Sus scrofa: one gene and its partners. The protein of the gene in region 3 purifies or fractionates together with the protein of the main gene of each other region. This does not show direct contact. Links are inferred from orthologs where the notes say so. Each region holds a gene or a part of one and is shown on either strand. Other genes may lie near its edges.

Region 1 (7,484 bases), on a different chromosome or scaffold from region 3:
AACCCGGGGTCCCAGTCCTCTTCTCCTTTGAGAACCCACAAATTCAAATCTTCCATTCCTCTCCAGCTTCGAGGATCCAGGAACAGAGTCCCTCTCTTATTCCCCCTCCCCCAGTGAGAACCCAGCTCTCCAGACCTCCAGCCCTTCCTTCTTCGAGGCAGGCCTCCAGCCTCCACCTCTTTCGGAGGTTGGGTTCCTTCTCTCATCTAAAGCCCCGAGAGCGCGCCCCGCTCCCTAGCCCCAACCCCGCGCCGGCTGCGTGCACCAAGCGCGTGTCAGATGGGCCCAGGCAAAGCCACAGGCGGTTACGCCACTCCAGAGCTCCTCCGCGCTCCAGGCACCGCCCCCGCAGCCCATCGACCCACCGATCCGCAGCGAACCCACGCACTGTCCAGACCCCTCCCGGTCTCCGGGGCGCCTCTACACCCCAGCTCACCTGGGCCCGCGACTCCACGCCGCCAGCAGGGGAGGAGGCGGCCAAGCAGTCCCAGCGCGCGGGCCCGGCGGGGCCAGCCACGCCTACCCCGCCCAGCACGCCTCCGCTACCCCCGCCTCTTTGGGGGCCGGTTCGGCTGCGCCGTGTCGGGCCGGGTGCGCAGCGCCGGGTAGGTTCCCGGCTGCGCAGAGAAGAAGCCTGGACTAAGAGCAGGCAGCAGGAGTCAGCTGCTGGACCAGGACTCTTGGTCAAGAGTCACTGGCACGCAAAAGGGCGGGGTTTCGGGCTCGGAAAGGGGAGGGGCCAGAAGCTTCCGCCTCTTAGGGACGCGACCAGACGTGAGAAGGAGGGCGGAGCCTGGAGCTCAGCGCTCGGAATGAGGCGGGGCCTCCACTTCAGGTTCCTCGGAGCAGAGATGGGAGGCGGCTTGGAGGCGGGGCCACAAGCCGAAAGTCTCTGTCCGGATGTGGGCGGGGCCAAAAGCTTCGCCGGATGTAGGCGGAGCCACCGCGTCGGTTTCCTTCGGAGGTAGTCGTGTGCAAGTGACAGTCCCACCCCAATCGGGTTGCTGATAGGCAAAGTCTCCTGTGTAGGAGGGAGGCCGAGCCACGGACTTGGCCAACAGGAAAGAGGCAGGGCTCAGAAGAACTCTGAGGGGGTGGAGCAAACAGCGCCCCTCGGTCTAAAGGGGGCGGGGCCTCGGGCAAAGGGGGCGGGGCCAGCGCACGGAGCCTCCCATTTCTAAGTCGCGGAACAGAATCGGTGGAGGGAGGTGGGCTTCGAGGGGCTGGCCGGAGGTGAGGCTCCGCTTTAGGGCAAGACGGGGCTACGGCCCTGTGGGGCGGGTCCCAGACTTCCCGCTCCGCTGAGGTGGCGGCGTGACGAAATCGACGCAGGGGGTCGACATGGGGGGTGGAGGAAGCAGCGCGTGGCGCGCGACGTAGGGGGTGGCACCGCCGGGACAGCGAGCTGGTGTTTACGAGGTGACTAGCTGGTTTTATCAGAGGACGGGGCCACATTCTGAAGGGAGCGCTCGCCAGTGGGGTGAGCCCGCCCGAGCGGAGAACGAACAGCATGTGCTCAGGGGACTGGGCCGCCGGCTGTGGGGTTCGATCGCGCGGCGGGAACTCCCTAAACTAGGGGAGCGCTGGCGGCCAGAGGGGGCCGGGCCTCAGGCTGTGGGATTGACGGGAGCCGAAGACACTCGAACGCAGTACCCCTTGGGTTCGGAGGGGCGGGGCTGCAGGTTCGGCTGAGCCGAGGACGGCCGAACACTCGGGCAGGGGCGGGGCTTCGTATTTGGAGAGCGCGACTCAGCGGGAAGAACCCGAGGCCGAACCTCGGGAGTTGGTTCGGAAAGAGGAGGGGCCAGGTCCCGAGCCACCGGAGGAGGGCGGGGCTTTGGCCTCCGAGGTCCCGGCACCTGACGGGAACACCCGAAGGGCGCTGCCGAGATGAACCTTTCGAAGAGGGCGTGGTCTGCGCTAGGGCAGGTTTTCCGTCGAGGCGCGGAGGCCGGGACAGCAGTACTAGCCCAGACCCGAGGGCTGACCGCTGGGTCCCTCGGACCCGGCGGCTCGGTCACGCCCGGGGCCTGGCGGGCTCGCCCGGGGTGGAGCCTGGTGCCCAGGGGGCGGGGCCCGCTCCGCAGGTGGCGAACGCGGCCCGAGCGAGGCTCCACCCCCTGAAACTCGAGGGAGGGGCTTTGTCCAGACCCACCACCCCCTCCCCGGGAGGTGGGAGCGCTGGGTGTCGAGAGCTTGCAGCTCTTGGCGTGACTACTGTGCCCCTGGCCTCCCGCAGGAGGATGCTGGTGGTGGAGGTGGCGAATGGCCGCTCCCTGGTGTGGGGGGCCGAGGCCGTGCAGGCGCTACGCGAACGCCTAGGAGTAGGGGGCCGCACGGTGGGCGCCCTGCCCCGCGGGCCCCGCCAAAACTCGCGCCTGGGCCTCCCGCTGCTGCTGATGCCTGAAGAGGCGCGGCTCCTGGCTGAGATCGGCGCAGTGACCCTGGTCAGCGCCCCGCGCCCGGATCCCCGCCAACACAGCCTGGTAAGGAGGCAGGCTGGGAGCGCGAACTCCCTGGGACCTGAGGAAGAAGCGGCTGGAGACTCGGACCACGAGTCCTTGAGCTGGGAGGGGTCTGGGAGTCCTGGATTCTGGAATACCGTGAGCCTATGACACCAGGTTCCCCGGGTTCCTGCCCTGAGGTTGACAGGGGCCAGGGAGTCAGGATTCCTAGCTACCAAAGGGAGAGCCTGCCTGGATCCCTGAGTTTATAGCTAAGTTTACTTCTCAGGCTTTGGCATCCTTCAAGCGCCAGCAAGAGCAGGGCTTCCAGGAGCAAAGTGCTCTGGCAGCTGAGGCCCGTGAGACTCGTCGTCAGGAGCTCCTAGAGAAGATTGCAGAGGGCCAGGCTGCGAAGAAGCAGAAGCTGGAACAGGAATCAGGGACCAGTGGAGGCCAGGATGCCCCTGGGCACCCAGCTGCTGAAGAGAATGAGGAGGCCAGTGCTAGCCAGACTGCTGGAGAACAGGAGGAAGCAGGTGAAGGTGGGAGTTGGCGTCCAGGGACCAGGGGGAGGAGGGAATTGGGGTTAGAGTCTGGGGCTGGGTCTCCCAGGGGCTCTTGGATTCACTGAACTCTCTTGGATTCACCCCCCCACCAGGCTCTTCCTCTCCCCAGCCGGGGCCTTCAAATGAGGTCACCCCTTTGCCCAGGTCTGCCCTGCTCGTCCAGCTGGCCACTGCTAGACCTCGGCCCATCAAGGCTAGGCCCCTGGACTGGCGTGTCCAGTCCAAAGACTGGCCCCATGCTGGCCGTCCTGCCCACGAGCTTCGCTACAGCATCTACAGAGACCTGTGGGAGCGGGGCTTCTTCCTCAGTGCTGCTGGCAAGTTTGGGGGAGACTTCCTGGTGTATCCTGGTGAGTTTGTGTTGGGCCCTCTGGTTGCTACTCTGTTCTTCACGAATCCCACTATGTTCTGCATTTTCCCTTTATTTGGTCTTATTTTCTCAGCGTCTGAAACTAGGGAAGGACAGGAAACACTTGGGAACCCAAGCTCATTCGGCGGGCGGTTTAGTACATGAGCAAAGGTGGGGGGACAAAGAATGGCTTGGAGAAATCATGGGTAGTAAGAAGTAAACCATATTTTATACTGTCAAACAGTTATACGCGCTATTTAAGTAGCCTTAAAAATTGTGGCTCTTAAAAAAAAAAATGTGGCTCTTGGAGTTCTTTTGTGGTGCAACAGATTAAGGATCCAGCAGTGTCACTCGCATTCTGCATGCTGAGGGTGTGGCCAAAAAAACCCCATGGCTTGGAGTTCCCGTTGTGGCGCAGTGGTTAAGGAATCCAATGAGGAACCATGAGGTTGCAGGTTCGGTCCCTGCCCTTGCTCAGTGGGTTAACGATCCGGCGTTGCCGTGAGCTGTGGTGTAGGTTGCAGACGCAGCTCAGATCCTACGTTGCTGTGGCTGTGGCGTAGGCTGGTGGCTACGGCTCCAATTAGACCCCTAGCCTGGGAACCTCCATATGCCGCGGGAGTGGCCCGAGAAATAGCAAAAAGACAAAAAAAAAAAAAAAAAGCCCCGTGGCTCTAGTAAGTCAACTATACTTCAATCAAATTTTTTTTTGTCGTTGTTCTTTTGTCTTTTTGAGGGCCGCACCCACGGCACATGGAGGGTCCCAGGCTAGGGGTCTAATGGGAGTTGTAGCCGCCGGCCTACACCAGAGCCACAGCAACGCAGGATCTGAGCCAAGTCTGCTACCTACACCACAGCTTGTGGCAACATTGGATCCTTAACCCACTGAGCGATGCCAGGGATCGAACCTGCAACCTCATGGTTCCTAGTCAGATTCATTTCTGCTGTGCCACGAAGGGAACTCCTACTTCAATAAAATTTTTGAGATTCAAAAAAAAAAAAAAAAAGGAGTTCCCAATGAAGTGCAATGGAATAGGAGGTGTCTCTGCAACACCAGAATGCAGGTTTGATCCCCAGCCCAGCACAGTGGATTAAAGAACCTGTGGTGTAGATTGCAACTGTGCCTCAGATGTGATCCCTAGCCTGGGAAGTCCGTATGCTGCAGGACTGCCAAAAAAAGAAAAAATAAATAAATAAATAAATTTTTTGGGAGTTCCCGTCGTGGCGCAGTGGTTAACGAATCCGACTAGGAACCATGAGGTTGCGGGTTCGGTCCCTGCCCTTGCTCAGTGGGTTAAGGATCCGGCGTTGCCGTGAGCTGTGGTGTAGGTTGCAGACGCGGCTTGGATCCCGCGTTGCTGTGGCTCTGGCGTAGGCCGGGGACTACAGCTCCGATTCGACCCCTAGCCTGGGAACCTCCATATGCCGCGGGAGCGGCCCAAAGAAATAGCAAAAAGACAAAAAAAAAAAAAAAAAAAAAAAAAATTTTTTTGAAAGAAAAAATATTGAGGCTCTAGTGAAAGAATATGAGAAAAACTTAAAGTGGAGTACTAAGTAGCTTGAGAGACTCCCATCAAGCAAATGGAAGACCACATGCGAGGTTTTACTGGAGCCCAGTGACAGTAATTAAGAGTTCTGGGAGGGAATTTGCATCAGGAATAGGTAAAGGAGACTTTTGATGAGTCAGTTAATGGTTAAATAGTAAGACTGCCTTGATTGTGTAACTAAAAGGTTAAAAAAAAAAAAAGTACAGGAGTTCCCCGGTGGCACAGCAGGTTAAGGATCCAGCATTGTCACTGCTGTGGCTCAGATTCCATCCCTGGCCCAGGAACTTCCAAATGCTGTAGGCACGGCTGAAAAAAAGAAAAAAGTACAGAATAATCACCCTTTTTGTTCCCCCTAAGAGCACAGAAACGGAACTGCCTGATAAATAATCAGATCTTAGCCATTCATTGGAGACTATCCATTAATTTTTCTGCAGGTGAGCTGAGAGCCTTGGTCTCTGCTCAGACTAAAATTTAACTGACTGACTTAGGAGGTGACAACATTCTACCCCACCGCATTCTCCATAGATAACCATGGTTTAATTACTTTGCTACTGGGTTGTCTTTTGTGTGTGTCTCTGACTCTTGCATGTAAAAATGATTATTTTGGTTTTCAAAGGGAATATTCAACTTCCTAAACATACAGATGCTAATATCTAGTTCTTTTCTAAACTTTCACCTTAATTTACAAAACTGAAGTTTTTCCAACCTAGCAGATTGTAAGGGAACCATTCATTCATATTTGATCCCATGTACAAGAGGAGTTAAGTAATTTCAAACATTCTAAGTTGCATTTAAAAATTTAATGTAGGGGAGTTCCCCTTGTGGCTCAGCAGAAACGAATCCAGTTAGTATCCATGAGGATACCAGTTCAATCCCTGGCCCTGCTCAGTGCGTTAAGGATCTGGCGTTGCCGTGAGCTATGGTGAGGTTTGTAGACACAGCTTGGATCTCGTGTTGCTGTGGCTGTGGTGCAGGCCAGCACCTGTAACTCCAGTTCATCCCCTATCCTGGAAACTTCCATATGCCATGGGTGCAGCCCTAAAGAGACAAAATAATAATAATAATAATAAAAACAAAAAAATTTAATGTAGGAGTTGCCTTTGTGGTTCAGTGGAAACCAACCTGACTAGTATCTGTGAGGATTCAGGTCTGATCCCTTGTCTCACTCAATGGGTTAAGAATCTTGCTTCAGCTCCAACTCAACCCTTAGCTGGGAACTTCCATATGCCATAGGTGTGGCCCAAAAAAACAGAACAAAACAAAACAAATTAATGTATTTTCCCCTTTTTTTTTGGCTGAGCCTGTGGCATGTGGAAGTTCCTGGTCCTGGGCCAGCAGTCCGAGCTGCTGCAGTGACAATGCCGGATCCTTAACCTGCTGTGCCTCAAAGGAACTCCTATTTTCCTTTCTAAGTTCTGCAGTTTTCTGGTTATGGATCTTGCTAATATTAAATCAATAAGTTATAAGTGAGGTGATCTTAAAATTTATATTGTTGGAGTTCCCACAGTGGCGCCAAGGTATCGGCAGCGTCTTAGGAGAGCTGGGATGCAGGTTCAATTCTGGTCCCAACAGAGTAGGTTAAGGATCCAGCCTTGCCACAGCTGCAGCTTGGGTGGCAACTATGGTTTGAATCTTATCCCTGGCCCGAGTCCCTGGCCCGAGAACTCCATATGTCTCGGGGTGGCCAAAAAATAAAAAAATAAAATAAAGTTTATATTCTTACACTGTTAATAGACTTACTAAATCTTCAGATTAAGGCAAATTTAAATCACTCAGTTGCACATTAGAAACAAACACAAGGCTGACCTGTTGGTTCTAATCGGTCAACATTTCAAAACAAGAAATACTCAGTGTCTCATGGGAGTTCCCGTCGGTTAACGAATCCGACTAGGAACCATGAGGTTGCGGGTTCAATCCCTGGCCTTGCTCAGTGGGTTAAGGATCCGGTGTTGCCGTGAGCTGTGGTGTAAGTTACAGACGCAGCTCGGATCCTGCGCTGCTGTGTCTCTGGCGTAGGCTGGTAGCTGCAGCTCCGATTGGACCCCTAGCCTGGGAACCTCCATATGCCGTGGGAGCGGCCCTAGAAAAGGCAAAAGGACAAAAAAAAAAAAAAAAAAAAGAAAGAAATACTCAATGTATCAGATAGACACAGAATCTCTGTCCCCTGAAGATGAATATTCAGGGACTGAGTCTCTTAAATATATGTTTCTAACTCTAATTATAAATTTTCCTGAGGTTAAAAGATGCTAAGTTTCTTTTTTTTTCTTTTTTCTTTTTTTTGTCTTTTTGTCTTTGTAGGGCCATACCTGCAGCCTGTGGAAGTTCCCAGGCCAGGGACTGAACCTGCACCACAGAGGTGACAGTGTTAGATCTTTAACCCACTGATCCACAGGGAGCCCCTGTTTTGTTTTTTAGATGTCACACATAAATGAAATCATACAGTATTTGTCTTTCTAACTTATTTCACTTAAGATAATACTCTGTATTATGCTACTAGAGGTTCATAACAAGATTTGTCTTTTTTTTTTTTTAGTGAGAATTGCAATGATTTTTTTTAATTTCTATTTTTTTAATTATA
Region 2 (7,307 bases), on a different chromosome or scaffold from region 3:
ATAATATTTGCCTCATGGAGATGTGAAGTGAGAAAGCATTTCAATACCTAAAAAATGCCGCCAAGGTGATAGGCACGTGGTAAACAGTGGTTACTGTCATTTCAAAACAGTGTTCTCAACTTAATACCCCTAAACCCAGAGAGGACTTACAACTATTAAATTCGGATAGCTCAAGAGGTACATGCCAAAATTGTGTCTTATGAAGAGCTTAACATTTTTCAGTGTTATTTTTCTGACGGTTTCCAGTGATACTTCATTTAACCCAGAATATTGCTCATGAAGTGTTGCCCTGGGTATGTGGCTAAAGAATGTGGCCATTTTATCCCTCGAAAATAAAAACCCTGATTTCTAACCAAGGCTAACGTTCAGAAAATGAAGCACTTTTCACAAGGGAGAAGGTGGGGGGGATGTTAAGAAAGGAAAATGAGGTTGATGGGAGGCAGTGCTAGCTGGGTATGAAAAAGTGAAGGGAATTCTGAATATTTACTCTGGGAAGATTCTGGGATTTAACGTAAATTCTGAAAACACAATGTGGGTATCTTGAATGATGTTCCCAGAGGTTTGGGATTGAGAACTGAATAAAGAAAGAAGAGAGAAATGTTCTTGTCTGAGCAACGGACGGGAAGGGAAATGTAAGCGGACGGAGTTCCCGTCGTGGCTCAGTGGTTAGCGAATCCAACTAGGAACCGTGAGGTTGCAGGTTCGATTCCTGGCCTCGCTCAGTGGGTTAAGGATCTAGCGTTGCCGTGAGCTGTGGTGTAAGTCACAGATGAGGCTTGGATCTGGCATTGCTGTGGCTGTGATATAGGCCGGCAGCTGTGGCTCCGATTAGACCCCTAGCCTGGGAACTTCCATATGCCTTGGATGTGGCCCTGGAAAAGACAAAAAAAAGGGGGGGGGAATGTAAGTGGAGGAGGAATTCGTCGAGGAAAATAGTGGGAAGTGGGAAAAAGAAAGTGAGTAGTTGTTGAGAGCAAGGATCGAAAGTTTAGAAGCAAAAAAGATAACAGGTGATTTAACTCAGGAAGAAAATAAGGGTTAAGCTGGAAAGGAGAATAAAAAAGACATGTGAGGACAGTATTTATTTGGGGATGGGGCAGAGATGACTGGGGTGCTTAGTGAAAGATTGAAAGTGAGGAAAGAGAGTGCAGGGGAAACATAGATGGTTTAAATGTTGTGCCCCGACTATTTCTGTGTTTAAGAGGCAAAACAGAGAGTGGTCTAAAGGAGGGGAGGGGTTTCTTCTCCCTAAATTCAGCTTGAGATGGCTACCCAATATCCAAATAAAGATGACCTTCAGAAAACTGGGAGAAACAGTCTCAAGGCAGAGCGTGGAGGCAAAGAAACAGATCTTAGGAGAAAGACTGCAGGAAACAGGAGAGGGTGAGCTGACTCGGAGGGAAATTTGCAAATGGAAGACCAGAACGGAACTGCTGAAGAATCAATGAAAGATGAGGAAATACCTAATAGTTAATTGGAGAACTAATAACATGCATGGAGAATGAATTAAACAATTAAAGCAAACCCTCAAAGAAAGAACTGTGAGAAGTGAAGGTGTCACTCTTGAAAGTGAATGCTGGAGTTTCCTGGTGGTGCAGTGGGTTAAGGATTTGGTGTTGTCACTGCCACAGTTGGGGTCTCTACTGGGGCGAGGGTCGAATTCCTGGCCTCAGAACTTCTGCATGCCTGAGGTGGGGCCAAAAAAAAAAAAAAAAAAAAGTGAATGCTAAGGTAGGGCCAGTGGGAAACAAGGCAATCCAGAAAATCTCCCCAGGCTTTTCCACCCAGATTAACCAGGTAAACTGGACTAAAAAAAGTATGCATCTGTAAGCAGAGCTGACAATCACAGTGTGTTTGTACCTCACAGGATTCTTTGAGGATTAAATTTACCCCTGTAAAGCCCACAGAACACTATGTGACATCTAGCACTGTGCGTTCACTATTATTATAAGTGGACTCAAACTCCAAAGTCTTGGGTTTGAGAACTAGCTTGGGCAAGTCCCTTCATCTATCTTAGTCTCCTCCCTCACCTGAAATTGAGTAGAGCTGACTTGACAGGTGGCTGTGAAAGAGGATAGCTGAAAGGGTTTTGTGAAATGTAAACTACAAATGGATGGCATCTTTGTAGCTCCCCCTCCTCAACCTCTAATAAAAACTTAAGAGCTAAGGAATTCCCCTCCTGATGCAGAGGAAATGAATCCGACTAAGAATCGTGAGGTCGTAGGTTCGATCCCTGGTCTTGCCTAGTGGGTTAAGGATGCAGCGCAGCCGTGAGCTGTGGTGTAGGTGGCAGACGCAGCTTGGATCTGGCGTTGCTGTGGCTGTGGTATAGGCCAGCAGCTGTAGCTCTGATTAGACCCCTAGCCTGGGAACCTCCATATGCCACTGGTACGGCCCTAAAAGGACAAAAAGATAAATAAAACAATTTTGGCTGGGTATTGTTTTTATCCATATTTTACAATTAAGAAACTAGGTGTTAGAAAGTTTAAGCCCGTGATTTGCCCAAAGTCCCACAGTAAGCAAGCGGCATAGCAAAGAATACAAGATTCCAAGTCCAAGCTCATCAGAAGAGTACAGACATTGCCCAACCTGTTGTTTGTTGGATAAATGACTGACCTTGTATAACTGCCAGGGATTTAGGGAGGGAAACAGAGTTCCCAACAAAACACCTTGATCAATAAGAGGAGTGGGTATTTTCTTGTAATGCAGCAGGTTAAGGATCTGGCATTGTCACTGCAGCGGCTTTGGTCACTGCTGTGCCGCGGATTTGATTCCTGGCCCAGAAATTTCCACACACCACGGGTGGGGCCAAAAATAAATGAGAGGTTGTTGGGAAATGACTGACTTACAGAGTAAGTGGAAGAATTCTTGCACTTTTATTCAAAAAACATTTTTTTAATGACCCCTAGGGGCCAAGCACTGTATCAGTTAATTGGTGACGGTTCAGGTCCGGGTTGGTCTCTGTTTATGCTGTTTTCCTCCACTTTCTCTACCCCTAGGTTTTCTCGTATCCAAATGGAGTTTCCCTAATTTCCCCGCTTCCAGGCGACCATGGGACCTAAATAATGTCCCCTTCCCTCCGTCTTTCCCCTTCCCGGAGGGCAGTTGAGCGGAGAACAGCGGTGAGCATCCGCATCCTCTGCGCTTTGGTGTCCATTGACCCTTCCGCCAGTCCCCGCCCCGCGCGGGGGCGTAACCGCCACTCCACCCCCTTCCCTCCCGTGGAAACGCGAACTTCGGCGGCCGCCGCCCCGCCCACCGCTGACATCACGATCAAAACAATCCTTTAACTACAAGTCCCAGAAGGCCCAGCGACTGCGCCAGGTGGTCGCTCGCAGCGGTTCTGGCACGACTACATGTCCCAGGGAGCACCGCGCGTCCACATCTCCTCTACTGCGCAAGTAAGGAAACGCCCAAGTTTCCGGCGTGGATCTAGGCGAGCGCGGTTAGCAGTTGGTCTGAGTTTCTGCCTAGGAGGGCTTTTTGATTTACAAGGTTGGGTTCGTGCCTGTACAGGTAAGGTAATAAGCTTAGGAACGCACCGTCGCCTCCTTGGAGCGTGGACAGGTTTCACTGTCTAGGGAGGCTAGGACAAACGCTGGATTTAGAGCTGCGGTCTGGGATCAGAGATAATTCTTCGCTTTTCCTCGGCGTTTTCTAGTTCACGAACTTTTTTTCTCCTCCAGCAATCCCTGTTAATCCCCAGAACTTTGTGTGTGGAAGGGGAAGTGCCTCCAGTTGACAACTGAGGAAGAGGTGATTGATTTCTCTAAAGACACTACCTAGTAGTTGCTGAGCAGGGCCTTAATTCTGTTTTCTAAGTCGGAAACCGGAAACCGATATTCTCTGCTTTACATCGAATTACTAACGCCTTTCTTGTTGACTAAGAGGCTTAGGGAGTGGCCATCTGTTGCCTTTTCAACTCTGGAATATCCCAGTTGAGTGGTGAAGGGGGCGATGAAGGCGATGAAATCAAGTCTGTCAATCTGTAGAGACTGCTTTCTTTTTATTTCTGAGTCATTTATTCCCTCGGTGTATTTATAGAGGTGCCTTTGGGTTGTCTAGCCCCATCCTAGGTACTAGAGTTCCAACCCTTACATTCTTGTGAGGGTAGACAGACAATAAACAAATATATAGTGAAGCGGATGGTGATCAGAGATAAGGAGAAAAATAAAGCAGGGTAAAGAGAAACTGCCAGTGAAGGATTTTGAACTGAGTCCTAACTTATGTTTAGATCTGACATTTGTGTTCTAGGCACAACAACTACGCAGAAAAGATGGGAGAGGAGGCCAATGATGACAAGAAGCCAACAACTAAATTTGAACTCGAGCGAGAAACAGAACTTCGCTTTGAGGTGGAGGCATCTCAGTCAGTTCAGCTGGAGCTGCTGGCTGGCATGGCAGAAATCTTTGGCACAGAGCTGACCCGAAACAAGAAATTCACCTTTGATGCTGGTGCCAAGGTGGCTGTTTTCACTTGGCATGGCTGTTCGCTACAGCTCAGTGGTCGCACCGAGGTGGCTTATGTCTCCAAAGACACCCCTATGTTGCTTTATCTCAACACTCACACTGCCTTGGAGCAGATGCGGAGGCAGGCAGAGAAGGAAGAAGAGCGAGGTCCCCGGGTGATGGTAGTGGGCCCCACTGATGTGGGCAAGTCCACAGTGTGCCGTCTACTGCTCAACTATGCAGTGCGCTTGGGCCGCCGTCCCACTTACGTGGAGCTGGATGTAGGCCAGGGCTCTGTGTCCATCCCTGGTACCATGGGGGCCCTCTACATTGAACGGCCAGCAGATGTTGAAGAGGGATTCTCCATCCAGGCTCCTTTGGTGTATCATTTTGGTTCCACCACTCCTGGAACCAACATCAAGCTTTATAATAAGGTCAGAGCCAGGGCCAAGGTGGGGTGGAGGGAAGGGCTGCTGTCAGGGTTGAAAACTGTGCAGAAGTTTGCTAATTAAAACTCTTTGCTCCCTCTCGGCTGGTATATTGCTCCATGATTTTAGGAAAGACAATTTGAAAATAAGTCCATCTCAAACTGTTAAACGTTTCTGCGGACCCATTCTTAAGTAATTTATTAAATTTCCATTTCGGACATGAAACAGAGGAGACAGAAGAAGCAACGCAAAATAAAAATTAAATCCATGTTACGGGGTCAAAACCACAGCCATGAAAAATGTCATTTTTCTTATACCTGATACCACTTGTTCTAAAGAAAGATAAAATAGCCTTGGGTTTGTTTCTTTTGGTGTTTTTTTTTCCTCACTTTGCTTCTTTCTTTTGCAGATTACATCTCGCTTAGCAGATGTGTTCAACCAAAGATGTGAAGTGAACAGAAGGGCCTCTGTGAGTGGCTGTGTCATTAACACCTGTGGCTGGGTCAAGGGCTCTGGTTACCAGGCCCTGGTGCATGCGGCCTCAGCTTTTGAGGTGGATGTCGTTGTGGTCCTGGATCAAGAACGACTGTACAATGAGCTGAAACGAGACCTGCCTCACTTCGTACGCACTGTGCTGCTCCCTAAATCAGGGGGTGTGGTTGAGCGCTCCAAGGACTTCCGGCGGGAATGTAGGGATGAACGAATCCGTGAGTATTTCTACGGATTCCGGGGCTGTTTCTATCCCCACGCCTTTAACGTCAAATTTTCAGATGTGAAAATCTACAAAGTCGGGGCACCCACCATCCCAGACTCCTGTTTGCCCTTGGGCATGTCTCAGGAGGACAATCAGCTCAAGCTGGTCCCTGTCACTCCTGGCCGAGATATGGTGCACCACCTCCTGAGTGTTAGCACTGCCGAGGGCACAGAGGAGAACCTTTCTGAGACCAGTGTGGCTGGCTTCATTGTGGTGACCAGTGTGGACCTGGAGCATCAAGTGTTTACTGTGCTCTCCCCAGCCCCCCGCCCCCTGCCTAAGAACTTCCTTCTCATCATGGATATCCGGTTCATGGATCTTAAGTAGAGATCAGCAGGAAGCTTTGCTGCTTGGGGGCGTAGAGATCTCCTGGCCATCACAAAGGCAGATGGGTGAAGTGTGGGAATCTCTTGAGACCAGGCTGACCAGTAAGTCATGGACTAGCAGAAAGCATATATTCTACCTCTTAAAACAGGTGATAATAACCTAACCCTTTTGATCTTGAACCAAAAGGAAAACTGTAAGAATATAATTGGTTTCTTAGATTACCTAAGGTGTCACTTTGAATTCTTTGAGTTCCAGAAAAATCCCATTTCATTCACTGTGCTACTATGTGGACTAATTCTGAGGAGGGATTTTTTTTTTTTAATATTACTGCTTTATATTCTGTATATAGTACTTGTTATCTCGTTTATGCAGGGTGAAAGAGTGAATTTGAAGGACTCCTTCCAATAAAGTTCATATTTGGGAAAAAAAACTATTTTAATAAATATTTTTGCCATATCACAGAAGTTGGTATAAGTTGTTTTTTTTAATTTTGTTCTTTTCCTCATTGTGGAAACATTATTGGGGTAACTTATTGTTGAATGTCTAGAGAAAAGGAAAGCAAAGAGTTCACCTGTGAGCTTAGCGAGTGGCTTGGGTCACTGCTGTGGTTTGGGTTCAATCCCTGGCCTGGGAAACTTCCACATGCCTCTGCCAAGGCCAAAAAAAGAAACACAAAAAAATGTAAATTGAGTTTTCAGGGGATAAGCTAGGAAAGCCTGTTCTTTTTGATCTCTTGCAAATGATTAGTGTTCCTAGTTTGGACTTGTATTATTAAGTATCTGATGCTCTTCATTCATTCTTTCCACAAATTTTCATCATACACCTACCATGTAACATGGGCCATTCTAGATGGGGGGAACAAGATAGACAACGTCTTACGGAGCTTACATTAGAGAATAAATATTAAAAGATGAGTGCTGGAGTTCCTGTTGTGGCACAGCGGAAATGAATCCGACTAGGAACCATGAGGTTGCAGGTTCGACCTCTGGCTTCGCTAAGTGCGCTAAGGATCTGGCGTCGCCCTGAGACACGTGAGACGCAGACTCGCTCGGATCTGGCCTGGCTGTGGCTGTGGTGTAGGCTGGCAGCTGCAGCTCCGATTAGACCCCTAGCCTGGGAACCTCCATGTGCCACCGGTGCAGCCCTCAAAAGACAAAAAAAAAAAAAACCCAAAAATAAAAAATAGCAGAAGAGTGTTATACAGAGAGACTTAAGGTTGGCTGATATGAGACAGAGTGGCTGGGGGCTACTTTAGATTGACTGGTTGAGAAAGGCCTCTTCTGAGTGCACTTTTTGAGTTAAGACCTGAATGGCTGTCTGAAATTGGGGCAAAGAAAGTCTTCCAGGTGG
Region 3 (6,712 bases):
AAGCCATCCTCTTGGCTTATTTTTCTTTTTTCTTTTTTAATTTTTAAATGATTTGATAAGTATTTTTGCATGCAGCTCCTGAGAATATTCTCCTTGTAATTATAGCACCATATGACACCTGTGAGAAGTTAGGAGAATTCATTCATATCATCTAAATATCTAGTCCATATTTCAATGTCCCCACTTGTCCCCACAATGTCTTGTATGGTTGTTTTGGTTTTGATTTATTTTTGTCCGGCTCCATTCAGGTTCATTGATCACATTTAGTGCATTTATCACTCTTATAGTTTCCTAGGGAGGCCAGGAGTGCTTATTACAAACTGGGGTCTAGAGGCCAGAGGTCAGAAGCAAGGATTGGGCAGATCCTGACACACCCTTCCCACCCATACCCCTACCCCATCCTCCCTCTTCCAGCTCCCCGGTGCCAGGTGTTCCTTGGCTGTGGCTGCATCATCCACGCCCTGCAGAGATCCTTTCCCCAAGTAAGGTCACAATCACAGGTTCCAGGTTGGGACGTGGATGTGTTTGGGCGGCCACCATTTCACCACTTCAGTCTGATCTTTTAATGAAAGAGTCCCTCTCCTTTGTGTGTTTCTGTGACATTGACCTCGAAGAATCCTGTGGGGTGTCCCAGTTTGGGGGTTGTGTCCAACTGCTTCCTCATGATCAGACGGAGGCTCACCATTGTTCAGCACCTACAGCAATGTGTGCTTATGGGGCCATAGCCAGGGGTACGTGTCCCATTGTCCTGCTGCTGGTGATGCTGTTTGACCCTTGGGCTGAGGCAGTTGTTGTCAGATGTCTGTCATAAAATTTTGGTTTACCCTTTGTAGTTCACAACTTGTATGTAGAGTGAGGCTGAGCATCTGGTGCCCCAGTAATTAGAGCAGTTGCCTAAACTTACTACTGCGCTGATCACCATTTTCTGGCTCTGTCATTCCTTCAGCACGTCACGTCTGGCGTTTTGTAAGAAAGCACCTTTCCCCTTCACCCTCTTCTTTCAGACTTTATACTTGTTGCTATTCTTTATTGGGTTTTTTGTTTTTGTTTTCCTTTGGCCTTGCCCAGTGCATGCTGAAGTTCCTGGGCCAGGGATCAAACCCATACCACAACAGTGACAACGCCAGATCCTTATCCCACTGAGCGACCAAGAAACTCCAAGCACCCACTACTTCTTAGACTTCTGAAGCTTTTGTCTTTCTACTTGGGGAGGCATTTTTGTAAAACTATTTCATTTTTCTCTCCGAATACGGTGCCATCATTGTAATCACTATTATCCGTAACTTTTTGAGCACCTCTATCTGCATTATTACTCCTGTTTTCCATAAGGCGATCGAAAGCCAGGGCGTCATCATGTGGTCTTGGCACTGCTGAGCCTTGAACTAGGGTCTGACAGATATCCTTGTTCATGCTTTTAGCCCCTGAGCCACCTTTCCATTCGTGGTCAGTTGTCTGAGGGTCCAAATTGGGGGTTGGAGCTGATTTCAGGCTGTGCATGTCCCAGGTGCATATTAGCTGATGGATGTGTAACTGATCATAGATCATGGCTTGTGAGGGATAGAAAAGATATTAATTTCCCCTCATGCATTTTATAATTTTGGAGACTGAGCCACAACTAGGAGTGACAGAGACGAGACCGAAGCAGGGCCTTTGAACTCAGTTTCATCCTGGTATGTGGTCTCATTCCTCTGCACCACAGCCCCAAAAGCTGTTACTCATGTGTTTAATGTGTGCCCTTACACAGTGAATTTGAGCTGACTTGTCAAATACTTTAAGTGCAATTAGAAATCCATTAATAAAAACGAAATGCAGAGCTCCCTAATGGCCCAGCAGGTTAAGGAGCTGCTGTCATTGTCTGTGGTGTGGGTTCAATCCCTGGCCCAAGAATTTTCACATGGCCACGGGCACAACCCCAAAAAAAGAAAATGTGACATGGAAAACATCAGTGAAGGGTTACTCTATCATCCATGACATCCTACCTGGTTACTGACCTCACAGTGCCTGAACCAAAGGGAAGTGTGATGAACTACCAGCTCCTCAAAGGAAACCAAGCTTTTCAGTCTTGGTTTTTGCACAGGGGACAGTCAAGAGTTTACAGGTATAATTGTATATTAGTTAAGATCATTCCTGTAGCTGTAGTTAGATATAAACCCCAAATTTCAAGAGCTTAACACTAGAAGTTAACTTGTGTTCATGTCGAATCCAAAGCCTGTGTCTGAATGGTGGGTGGACCAATTCCCAGAGGGGCTGCAGGAGCCTGGCTTCTTCCCATGGCCCCACAGTCTTCACACAGCTCCAGAAAGGGACAGGCAAGGGCTTGGTGCCAGGCAAGGTTTAAGGCCAGCTTGGAGGTGCCCGCAGCATGCTGGCTGCCTGGGAGGCGGGGATGGCATCTTCCACATGCCCAGAAAGAGGGGAGACCAGTTTGGTGGTAGGTCCCCAATTCCTGCTGCAGGCTCTGTGCCCCTCCCCTCCATAGGGTCCCCTGCACATCCACACCCACAGAAGACCCCAGCCAGGCTCCTCACCAGGCAGCTGCTCTTCCTCCACAGGCTGAATGAGACAGGCAGACGGATCTTTGAGTGGCTTATGTGCTTATGTGATATTTCCCCCCATTTGACATTGAATTTTTTTAAAGTAGGCATGTGTCACTCATCTCTAGCACCAATACCCTTCAGTACCAGCTGGAGGAGCTGAGACACTGAATCACATCAATTTGAAAGATTTGAAATGAATCAGTGTTGGCCCATGTTATACCAGCTTCACATACTTGACACGATTTCAGGCTCTCACTCTGGAGAGTGTAGACAAGAGAGGATTAAAACACTTGTATTTTGGGATTCATTTGTGGAGTGAGGGTGGAACGAGGGTATTAGGGTCTCCGCAACAGATTTGCTCTGTTAATTGCTTTTTGTTCTGTGGCAGGGGGCAGTCTGGGTTATAAAAACACCACCAGGCATATTATAAATTACCCACATCCTGAGCACTGGATGTTTGTGTCCCTTTGGAGAAGAAAACACTTTATAAATAATAAAAGAAGAATTTGATTTCAAATGATTATGCGTTTTTTTTTTTTTTCTTTGCAGTGTTGTACCGAAAAGGCCCTCCATTTTACCATGCAAGGTTTGGAATTTTTTTTTTGGTGGTGGGGTGGGGGGCTTTTTAGGGCCACACCCATGACATATGGAAGTTCCCAGGCCAGGGATCTAATCAGAGCTGTAGCTGCTGGCCTATGCCACAGCCACAGCAACACCAGATCCAAGCCCTGTCTGCGACCCACACCACAACTCAGGGCAACGCCAGATCATTAACCCACTGAGCAAGGCCAGGGATCAAACCTGAGTCCTCATGGATACTAATTGGATTTGTTACTGCTGAACCATGATGGGTACTCCTGGAGTGGTTTTTAAATAAGTTAATGGCTTAAAGGGACAGGAGGAAATTTCTGAGCTCCAATTTAATTCTCAGAAGCACACAATTAGAGTCAGGTTCCTCCTGGCCTGGTAGGAATAGATACTCTGTCTGTGCCTTAGATGTTAATATTGTTTTGCTATCTACAAGATAATAAATAGATTATGATGATGTATGTTTCAGTATTAAACATTGAGTTAATCTGTTTAGTTATTACTATATAGTAATTGTTTATCTTAATATCAGTGAGCACTAGTATCTAAACAGTTGTGTGAATTCACAGCTTTCATGTTGAGGGAAATATTTCTGTTCCTTTCCTGTAAGTGTTGCAATCAGGCTGACAGTTTGTAATGTCAAGTGTGAGTTTTAGATTAATATTTTTCTCAGTAATAGTTTAGGAATTTAGGATCAGATGATGTATGTTTTATTTTCTGTATTTTCATTCTTGGTAGGACAGACAATGTTCTTTCTTTTTAAATGGTTTGACTTCATGCTTTTTATTTTTATTTATTTTATTTATTTATTTATTTATTTATTTATTGTCTTTTTAGTGCCACACCCACGGCACATGGAGGATCCCAGGCTCAGGGTCTAATCGGAGCTGTAGCTGCCAAGCTACACCAGAGACACAGCAACGCCAGGTCCAAGCCGCGTCTGCGACCTATACCACAGCTCACGGCAGTGCCGGATCCTTAACCCACTGAGCGAGGCCAGGAATTGAACCCGCAACCTCATGGTTCCTAGAAGGATTTGTTTCCTCTGCACCACAACGGGAACTCCCATGCTTTTTATTTTTAAAATGCCCTCTACTTGTTTTCCAGTTACTCTGTCATCATCGAGTTGGTTGACGACTGTTTTGAGGGCACTCTTCGAAGACCTTTCAGCTGGAGGTCCCTGGCTGCCTTGAGCAGAGTTTCAGTCAGCGTCTCCAAGGTAGCGCAGCATCAGCCTAGGTGTTCACATGTTGCTTAATGGGTTGGATTTTTGTGTCCCAAGTGTGCTGGAAGCTGAAAAGTCATCCAGCTGCCAGGGAGGCCCCGGAAGTAGGTCTTCCTCACCGCTTGGTGAGGAGTCAGAGGCATAGATGCTGAGTGACCAACCCAAGATCACACAGCTCATGTGTGGAGCTGGGGTTCATACCCAGAGCCTTGTGACCTTCTGGCTTGTGTTCTGTGTTCCACTGCCATCAAAATAGGAAAGAAATTTCACCTTATTCCAGGACTGTGAAGAATGAAAGTCTGTGTTTGTTGTTGCTCATTAATTCCTCAAATTCTCTGTCCCCCTGTGTGATGGCCAGTGAAATAGGAAGGGCCAGTGGGCACCAGATGCCAGCTCCCTGCTGACAGGTTAAGTTGCTTAGGCTTTAGCCTATAAAAGTAGTTTTGTTCTAGAGAAATGTCCCTGGGATTTTTATGCCCATATTATAGGAGTTGTTGCTTGTATTTACTATTTGTAATGCTGTGTTAATAATCTGTCTATGTGCTCTACTTGCATTCTCTTGCCATGTCAATGATGACTAAATGACAGGTCTTTAGTCTGCAATGTGGGCCCAGTTATGTTCCCAGGAGGAAACAGGCATGCTCTGAGTTTCCCAGAGCACATGGCTCGGAGGGATGAAGATGGCCTCCATTTCCTGCACACTCACCCCATTTTTATTTCTGTTTTTTGGGATACAGAGGTTGTTTTTCATGTCTCAATAGGAACTTATGCTGTGCTATGTGATTAAACCCTCCACCATGACTGACAGAGAAATGGAGTCGCCAGAATGCATGAAACAAATTAAAGTTCAGGTAGGTGAACTCAGAGACAAATTCATGTCATCCCAAAGCTCTTTCCATCACGTGTCCTCTGAAACACGTGGTCCCGAGACAAGACAGGAAACCGTCTGGCCGTGGCGAGAGCCCTCTCAGGCCCTTTCCCGATGCGCCCGGCCTCCCTCCCCCTAATTCCTGCCACTCCTTGTCCTGCAGTGTCCTCTGGTTTTTGTCCCCACCCACCACTCTGCTGAAACCACTCTCCCAGCCAGCTTGGACCTAGTTCTGAGTTAAACACTGGCTTGGCACTGGCGTTCTCTTCCTGAAATGCGCTACCAGAAAACTACAGCTGCAGCAGGAGTGGCTTTTCACATCTTTAGGGGGTAACTGTGGCCAGTGTTCCCACATAAGGTTTGCTGGTCCACATTTCTCCAGATGTTTGGTGACAGGAACGGGAGCAGGTGTCATCCTTGTGCAGACAGACAGTATTTTGTGAGTGTTAAGGGGAAGCCTTATGCCTGCACATTCCTTCGTTGCTAGTTTTGAAGTTCAGCTGCCTTTTTATTTTGATTGGTTACAGGAGGTGATTCTAAGCCGTTGGGTTTCTTCACGAGAGAGGGGCGACCAAGACGAACTTTAACAACTCAGCCTCAGGTGTCTGATTTCACGAGCAAATACCTACTGAGTCTCCTATGATAAACCAAGTTCAGGGTGAGGTAAAGACTCCTTCTTTTGTAATCACCCGCTAGTTTAAAAGTCTTCAAGGGCATGGCACTTCCACCACAGGAAAGTGTTAGTGTTTTAAAAGTTAAAATTGGGGAGTTCCCTGGTGGTCTTGTGGTTAGGATTCAGTACTTTCACCTCTGCAGCCTGGTTCAGTCCCTGGTCTGAGATCCCACATCAAGCCACTGCACAACACAGCAAACAACAACAAAAAAGAATCTATGCTATTCACATGGTCCTGCAAAGAAATAAATGCAAGTTACACTTGCATGGGGAAGAGAGTCGGGGGCCAGGCCTGCAGATTCTGTCCCCAGATCAGCGCTGGCTGACCCCAACCCCTCCCCTCTGGGCATCGTCGTCCTGCAAGGAGGCAGGACTAGACAAGCCCAAAAGAACTCTTCAGCAGCAAGGAACTTCTGTTACTCTCTGATTTCACCTGAAAACAGTGACGATTTACCTCCGGCCAGCACTCTGCAGTTCCAGAGCACTTTGGGGCACATGCCTGTCTCATTACCCACGTCCAGCCTGTCCTGGAAGAGGCCGGGTGTGGATCTGGACATTGCAGGACCTGCTGCTCCATTATCTTAAATGAAGAAAACAATAACGTGTCTCATCTTGTCCAGGAACTTCAGTCAGTTACTCAGTCGCAGGAAATTCTGTTTACTACCTACCGAGCATTTCTGTATCCTAGGGAGCATTTAAGAACAAGAATTGTCTTAATTATTTAATTCTCAGTGAACTCTTTGGTGGGCATGTTGTATAGAGTACACAGTATTGTACAGTATTAGATAAGATTGTATCTAGCTTCATTGAACTTGTAAAAT
Region 4 (7,421 bases), on a different chromosome or scaffold from region 3:
GCATTCAAGCTATGTATCTGGCTTTTAACAGTTTAACTTCAGCATGGATTTCATTGTGTTTATTTTACTTAGTATTCATTTGGCATTTTGTACTTGCAAATTTCTGTCTTATATCAAATTTAGGGAATTTTTTTTTTTCCTCAGTGTTTTCTCTGCCCCATTCTCTTTCTTTTCTTTTTCTGGTGTTTCATTTACAAGTGTGTTGGATTGTTTGATATCATGTAGCAGGTCTCTGAGGCTCTGTTTATTTTTTTTTAATTCATTTTTCTCTTTGTTGTTTACCTTGGATGATTTCTTGGACAATTGCTCTACCTTCAAATTCACTTAATTTTTATTCAGTAATTTCTATTCGGCCGTGAAATCCATCCAGTGGATTTTTTATTTACGAACTTGTAAATTTTTTTCTCTTCTGCAGGCCTCACCTGTAGCATATTGAAGTTCCTGGGCTAGGGGTCTAATCAGGGCTACAGCTCAGGACTACAGCACAGCCACAGTAAGGCAGGATCAGAGGGGCATCTGCAACCTATGTCACAGCTTGTGGTAATACCAGATCCTTAACCCACCGAGTGAGGCCAGGGCTTGAATCCGCATCCTCGTAGAGACTATGTTGGGTTCTTAACCGGCTGAGCCACAGTGGGAACTCCTGATATTTTAATTTTCAGTTCCATTTGATTCTTTTTTCTGCTGAGATTTTTTAGTCTCCTGAGAGTTTCATTCACTTAAAAATGCTTTGTTTTACTTCATTGAGGATAAGCTGTAATAGCTACTTTAAAATCCTTGTCAGTTTCAACATCTGATTCATCTCAGAGTCAGACTAGACAGTGTGATACTTTTCCTTGATTTCCATATGTCTGTAGTTTTGAATCGTATCTTGGACTTTATGAATGCTAAATTGTCAAGGTTCTAGACTCTATAGTTTTTCTATGAAAGTTACTTCCTTTGCATTAGCAGGTAATTTTCCTGGCTAAATTTGACCTATAAACTCTTTCTTGGAGGCCAACTCTAGCCTTAGTTCAGATTTTTTGTTTTAAACAGTGATTCTGTTTCAGGTGGTTTAGGATCTGTCAGAGATGTGTGCAGAGTTAGGGGATCCTCTCTCAGGCTCCTGCCCCTTTGGAGATTTCCTAGTCTCCTCAGCATTCAAAGGTTCCTGGCTTCACTTTTTGGATTCTCTAGGTAAGAAAAACTAAGAGTTTTCCCACACGCGCCCCTTCTGCCTTGGAGTCTGTCTCATGGACTGCTCTTAGCTCCAAGCTCAATGCAGAAGAAAGGGGAACTTACTTGTGTGGTTCCTTATCTGCCCTTCTCTGAGCAACCTGCCCTGGCCACCAGGCTTGGTCTGCTTCTGTTAGCATTCCAGGATATTCTGGAAGTTGCTTTTTGTATTATGCCCTCCCCGCTAGGAAGCTACCGGGCTAGGGGTAGAATAAGAGCTGCATCTGCCGGCCTACACCACAGCTCACTGCAACACCGGATCCTTAACCCACTGAGCGAGGCCAGGGATCGAACTGCATCCTCATGGATACTAATCAGGTTTGTTACCAATGAGCTACAATGAGAACGCCTATGCCCAATTTTATAGATGTCTTCTGCTGAGGGATAGTCCAGTAGGGTCTTAGTCTGTCATATTTGGAAGCAGAATTTCCATCCCTGCCTGGCACTTTGTCTCCTGAGAGTCATTTCTTGCCTTGGTTAATCCAACAGCCTCCTAAACCACTCCCTGCTTATACCCTTGCTCCTTAAGGACTCTTCTTCACATTTCAGGCAGAGGGATACTACAGAAACAGAAACTTGCAGGGTCTCCCCATTTCCTGACAGTAAATCCACAAAGTTTAAAATGTCCTGTTCTGCCTGTCTGAAACTCCTCCTCAGCCTTGGCTTCCACGTCACATGCTTAGGCTGGTTTGCATCCTACTTTTCTGACCACTCCTGTTTAGATTCAACAACTCGTGTTTACTCTTGCTCCTCTAATCCTGAAAGGTGGGTCCACCCTAAAAATATGGTTCTTGGCAGTCTGGTCTTTCTCCCTTTTATTTTCTTTTAGAGATCTCATCCACTTCCACACTTTAAGCTTACATGTCAGGGCTCCGAATGAGGCCTTCCTGTTCCCAGGAACTGGAGATCTGGACTCACTGCAGAAGGCGAAGAGACCCTATCCCTGGCTTTCTCAAAAGAGCGCACACAGCGCTGACGGAAGGTAAGTTAAAGGTTTCCGGCCTCGGGGTATTCTTCAACCTTCTTTCGGCCAGCATTTGCCCAGATTTGACTAAGCACCGCGCGAAAGGGGAGCAGGGAGAGTGCGTCCGCGCCGGTTCTAGCTGCGTGTTTCTGAAGATGGGACTGACCGCTTCTCCCGCCCGGCAGCATCTGCGCCCTCCTGCGCCGACGCAGCGCACGACGGGAAAGCGGAACCCAGATGCGCGCGTCCCTGCTTCCAGCCGGGCGCGGAGAGCCGAGCGCGGTGCACACGCGCGCCGCACGGCCGGGCATGGAGGAGCGCCGCGAGTCCCAGCCCACCGCCGGCTCTAGCGCTATGGGCCCGGGAGGCGAACGCGGCGGCGGCGCCCCCTCTTGGGCCCCGGAGGACGCCTGGATGGGCACGCACCCTAAGGTCAGGAGGCGCGAGAGAGCAGGGCACGGGTCCAGGCCCCTACCCCAGAGGGAACCCCCGGGCCGCGCTCCCCTCGGGGCTCTTCACTCCCTGGGGGGTGGGATCGCTGAGTTTCCACCCGAACCTCGCGGAAGGGGACCCTTTACGCTGCCCGCTGCAGGCGGTATTGTTTTCGTTTGTTTAAAAGCGTTGAATTGTTGTTCTGACCGCCCCCCCCCCCCAGGCTGGAGGGACAAAACTTTAAAATCCATCCTCCTCGCCGTCCACCACTAACATCTGAGTTGTGCTCTCTAGGGCTCTGGGCTCTTTCTCGGGCTGGTCTCATTTACTCCTCACAGTAAGCAAACTAAACAGTTTGTGGGCCATGGAAAAGATGTGGGAGTCTACAGTGTTTAAGGTTTAGGCACAGTCCTCGTTTGCTTCTGCTTGGCATATAGTTGCCTTTTACAGCAATGAATGGAAGTGATCGAAGACAAGGGTTTTGTAGGAATGTAGACGCTAGATACTTCGGTCTCGTAACTTTAGTAGGATTGCAGTCTTCTGCTAGAGAGCAGTATTTCATAGATAATCATCTAAAAACAGTGAAGAAGAGGAAAATCTTGAAGGTCTAGGTCTGAAAAAAATTAATCCCTTTTCTTTCCTTTTTTTTTTTTTTTTTTTTTTTGTCTTTTTGCCTTTTCTAGGGCCTCTCCCACGGCATATGGAGGTTCCCAGGCCAGGGGTCGACTGAAGCTGTAGCCACCGGCCTACGCCAGAGCCACAGCAACACCAGAGCCACAGCAACACCAGATCCTTAACCCACTGAGCGAGGCCAGGGATCGAACCTGCAACCTCATGGTTCCTAGTCAGACTCGTTAACCACTGAGCCTCGACGGGAACTCCCGAATTAATCCCTTTTCATCTTCTCTTGATTTTATCCTCCTATTCTGATCCTCTTATTTCCCCCTCAAGGTGAGAAAAACATTAACATGGAGATGTTTTTCGGTGCCAGAAAAAGAACCACAACACGGAGAGGGAGCGTGAACTCAGAGTCACTGAGTTTGAATCCTGGGTTCTGTCACCAGCTTTGTGACTTTTTTTTTCTTTTTTTTTTTTTTTGCTTTTTAAGACTGCACCTGTGGCATATGGTGGTTCCCAGGCTAGGGCTCTAATCGGAGCTGTAGCTGCCGGCCTGTGCCACAGCCACTTCAGATCCGTGCAGCGTCTGCAACCTATACCACAGCTCAGGGCAACACCAGTTCCCTAACCCACTGAGCGAGGCCAGGGACTGAAGCCTTGTTCTTATGGATAGTAGTCGGGATCGTTAACTGCTGAGCCACGAAGGGAACTTCCAGGTTTATGACTTTTTTTTGCTAGTTGTTTTATCTTGTTCCTCAGTTTTCTCATCTGTAAAATGGGCATAGGAACAGTACTAATCTTATGAAGTGGTTATGGGATTAAATAAATTAATAAACACTTGACATATAGTGAACACTACATAAGTATTTATAAGTGAAACATCAGTAGCAAGTTTTAAAAACCTCATCTAGATTTGATGGTATTGTTTAGTTTTCATACTTGGGGATTTTTTTTCTCTTTAAAGTTAATATCTATAGGTTCTAGCTGTTAAGTCTTTTCTCTTGGTTTTTCTTGAAGGACCTAATTGATTACAAAAAAGGGAAGAAAAGATATTGGATGTCTGCTTTTTCAGTTCTGCATTTGTATTATTCAGTTTGAAAATTAATTGGGTCCAACCAGTAACATAGTATTAGTTTTATCATCCTCAAACACTTTTTTGATTATTCCTATACTTAAAGAATTTCCTCATGGATAAAATTCAAACTTTTAGCTTGGCTACTTGGTCCCTAATTGCCTTTACAGTGTCATTTTGAAACACATTTGAGGTTTCAGGAGGACGTTTAATAACGCCCCTCTTTCCTGTTCCCAACACACTTAGGAGCACACTGATGGGAAGGCATGGCCTCAGAGCTGCACCTAGGCAGGTCTGTTGATGCCTCACCTCTGCATTAGCCCTGCTTCCTCACCTGGTCAACGGACACAGCTGGAATACCTGAGGCTTCTCCTGCAGGGCCGGGCCCCTGAAGAATGTTTGCCCCCTGCTAACCAACAAGACTGAAATCAGCACAGCTTGCTTGGTCCTTTCTTTAAAATCCAACAATTATATAACTCCGCACTCTTGAGTGAGCAGGGGTGGGGAGAGAGACCTAGAAGACTTCCTCCACAGGTTAAGAAGAGACCAGGGAAAATAGAGGCTCCCACTAACGTGTTCCAGTAAAAGTCCTTTTAAAAACTGTCTCTTCTCGCACAGCAGGTCATCGCAGTGGCTAGGGTCACTGTTTTGGCCTGGGTTTGATCCTTGGCTCAGGAATTTCCACATGCCACGGGTGTAGCCAAAAAAAAAAGTTTCTACTCCTTACAGATAGGTTTCTTTGTAGGCCTTTAGATATGTGATGCTTATTCCCGCCTTCACGTGGTTGCTCACACTTTTATTCTACGTTCTCTATTTACGCAAATCATATATTACATCCTTCAGGGCCCAATTTGCATCCCACTTCTGCCAGGAAGCATGCACCAACCAAGCCATCTAATTGGAGCTCCTTAGACCTATTGTGTCTTTTTTTTTTAATCCCACTCACTCAGTTGGTTTCTTTTTCTTTTTTCTTTTCTTTTTTTTCACTTCACAGGGCCACACCTGTGTCGCAGGGAAGTTCCTAAGCTAGGGGTCAAATTGGACCTATAGCTGCTGGCCTGCACAACAGCTACAGCACCTTGGGATCTGATTTGAATCTTCGACCTACACTACAGCTCATGGCAACACTGGCTCCTTAACCCACTGATCCGGTCCAGGGATGGAACCTGGATCCTCATGGATACTAGTCAGATTCATTACCACCGAGCCCCAATGGGCTCAGTTTTTAATCACTTACTGTCTTGTACTGTTATTTGCAATTGTGTGTATGTTTACCCTAACAAAAGTTTTTTAGAGACAGAAATCAGGGCTTAATTGCCTTGTAACTCCCAGGATACCTGTAAGAGTCTCGTACATTATATATTTAATGAATAATTTTTGATTGAAAGAAAATATTTAGATTCTTCCTTCTCTATTTGACAATTATATTTTGATTTTCAGTATTTAGAAATGATGGAATTAGATATAGGAGATGCCACCCAAGTTTATATAGCATTCTTGGTTTACCTGGACCTCATGGAGAGTAAGTTATTTGTTTTATTATTGTTTTGTTATTGGGGCTGTGGTGGGGGAGATGGGGGCTTGGGTTGGGATGTAGTTTTTATGCATTTGCTGTTAACTTTGTCAGTGTTGTGATTTCTTTATCATTTTAATTGGGAACTCCTGGGAAAGAAAATACTAAAGAAAAGATGGCATTATAAGTGATGTTTGCTCAGCTGATATTAGGTGTTTAAAATTTTTATCTTTTATTTTTGATAAACATGATTGTCCATTTAATGATGCACTTTCAGGTAAAAGTTGGCATGAAGTGAACTGTGTGGGATTACCAGATCTCCAGCTCATCTGCCTTCTCGGTACTGAGATAGAAGGAGAAGGGGTACAGACTGTGGTGCCTACACCCATCAATGCATCCCTCAGCCATAACAGGTAGGCAGGTGATTTTGATCTTTGTTTAAGAGGTTAGTTCCTTTTCTGAATAAAGCACTAGGAATCGTTAAATTAGAGGTTGTCATATATTTTCAGAGGAATTGGGGGTACGGGGATCCTTGCTTTGCTCTTGGTTATTTGAGGAATAAGTTTTTTTATTAATGATGTTTATTTTTTCCATTATAGTTGGTTATTTGAGGAATAAGTTAAGTATGAGTGTTTAACAAGTATTTATTTAGCACTAAGTGTATTTTTCATGTTCATCGGGAATTGTTTTATTTTAGATCTTTTTAACTGTATAAAATGGCATCTTTTGAGGCTTGCTTTCCACAATGTTATATTGCAAAAATTTATCTATGGTATATTTTGGGAGCGGGGATGCCTTCCATCCTGTGATTGTACCACCGTTTTCACATCTACTGCCCTCATGACGGAGTGTTGTTAACGTTCAACTTTCAGGGAATGATTTCCACTCTTTTCCAAAGCAGTTGCCTCAGTTTACTTTCCCTGCGATGTAAATAAGACCTTTTGAAGCTGTGTGGGTCTCTGACATTTAGTAAGGTCAGACTTTAAAATTTTTACCAATTGAATGGTTTTCTCATTGTGGTCTTAATTTGCATTTCTCTGAATATTTATTTGAATATTTATTATCTTCTCTTTTGAGAAATCCTTTTCTTATCCTTTGCCTATTGGATTATTTATAGTTTTCTCATGGACTTCTAGGAGCTCTTTATATATTCCTGATAATAATCCTTTTGGTTATTTCTCAGCTTTAAACTCTATCTTTCAGGTATCTTTTATGAGTAGCCATTTTTACTCTGAATATAATCATATTTATCCATTTTTATAACAAAATCGTTGAGTCTAGTTTAAGAACTGTTTCCTGTCGAAAGGTGTAAAAGAAGTTCACCTATACTTTCCTTGAGAGTTTTAAAGTGTGCTTTTTTTAATAGTGTGAGAGGAAGTCTAGGGACCCTGTCTTCGCATGGAAGATCATTTTTTCTAGCTCCATTTACTGAGGGGTCCCTCTTCTCCTTGTTATCTGACACATCGCCACTGTCATTTTCCAGAGCCCCATTTGTGCATTGATTTGTTTCTGGGCCCTCTTTATATTCCATTGGTTTATATATGTATCCTTGTGCCATGACCACATTTTCCTAATTGCTTGCTGGTATCTGGCATCCGGTTAGCAAG

Evidence for each region.
Region 1: the proteins of TSEN2 (region 3) and TSEN34 purify together in Homo sapiens (affinity purification with mass spectrometry; 3 studies listed by BioGRID and IntAct, counting the BioPlex papers as one, with this or other methods). This does not show direct contact. The link is inferred for Sus scrofa from reciprocal best matches to the Homo sapiens genes TSEN2 and TSEN34.
Region 2: the proteins of TSEN2 (region 3) and CLP1 purify together in Homo sapiens (affinity purification with mass spectrometry; 3 studies listed by BioGRID and IntAct, counting the BioPlex papers as one, with this or other methods). This does not show direct contact. The link is inferred for Sus scrofa from reciprocal best matches to the Homo sapiens genes TSEN2 and CLP1.
Region 4: the proteins of TSEN2 (region 3) and TSEN15 purify together in Homo sapiens (affinity purification with mass spectrometry; 4 studies listed by BioGRID and IntAct, counting the BioPlex papers as one, with this or other methods). This does not show direct contact. The link is inferred for Sus scrofa from reciprocal best matches to the Homo sapiens genes TSEN2 and TSEN15.

The regions. Positions count from the first base shown.
Region 1 is NC_010448.4:55,932,960-55,940,443, reverse strand, and holds the start of TSEN34 (tRNA-splicing endonuclease subunit Sen34), read left to right. Parts: upstream 1-1,491; 5' UTR 1,492-1,890; coding exon 1,891-1,925; intron 1,926-2,239; coding exon 2,240-2,486; intron 2,487-2,733; coding exon 2,734-2,986; intron 2,987-3,102; coding exon 3,103-3,360; intron 3,361-7,484. UniProt on the Homo sapiens protein: Constitutes one of the two catalytic subunit of the tRNA-splicing endonuclease complex, a complex responsible for identification and cleavage of the splice sites in pre-tRNA. It cleaves pre-tRNA at the 5'- and 3'-splice sites to release the intron.
Region 2 is NC_010444.4:13,281,271-13,288,577, reverse strand, and holds CLP1 (polyribonucleotide 5'-hydroxyl-kinase Clp1), read left to right. Parts: upstream 1-3,369; 5' UTR 3,370-3,516; intron 3,517-3,686; exon of another isoform or gene 3,687-3,756; intron 3,757-4,234; exon of another isoform or gene 4,235-4,254; 5' UTR 4,255-4,276; coding exon 4,277-4,882; intron 4,883-5,285; coding exon 5,286-5,957; 3' UTR 5,958-6,421; downstream 6,422-7,307. UniProt on the Homo sapiens protein: Polynucleotide kinase that can phosphorylate the 5'-hydroxyl groups of double-stranded RNA (dsRNA), single-stranded RNA (ssRNA), double-stranded DNA (dsDNA) and double-stranded DNA:RNA hybrids. dsRNA is phosphorylated more efficiently than dsDNA, and the RNA component of a DNA:RNA hybrid is phosphorylated more efficiently than the DNA component.
Region 3 is NC_010455.5:68,513,928-68,520,639, forward strand, and holds part of TSEN2 (tRNA-splicing endonuclease subunit Sen2), read left to right. Parts: intron 1-3,086; coding exon 3,087-3,123; intron 3,124-4,232; coding exon 4,233-4,344; intron 4,345-5,111; coding exon 5,112-5,201; intron 5,202-5,745; coding exon 5,746-5,805; 3' UTR 5,806-6,712.
Region 4 is NC_010451.4:125,298,715-125,306,135, forward strand, and holds the start of TSEN15 (tRNA-splicing endonuclease subunit Sen15), read left to right. Parts: upstream 1-2,407; 5' UTR 2,408-2,416; coding exon 2,417-2,611; intron 2,612-5,295; exon of another isoform or gene 5,296-5,741; coding exon 5,742-5,823; intron 5,824-6,091; coding exon 6,092-6,227; intron 6,228-7,421. UniProt on the Homo sapiens protein: Non-catalytic subunit of the tRNA-splicing endonuclease complex, a complex responsible for identification and cleavage of the splice sites in pre-tRNA. It cleaves pre-tRNA at the 5' and 3' splice sites to release the intron.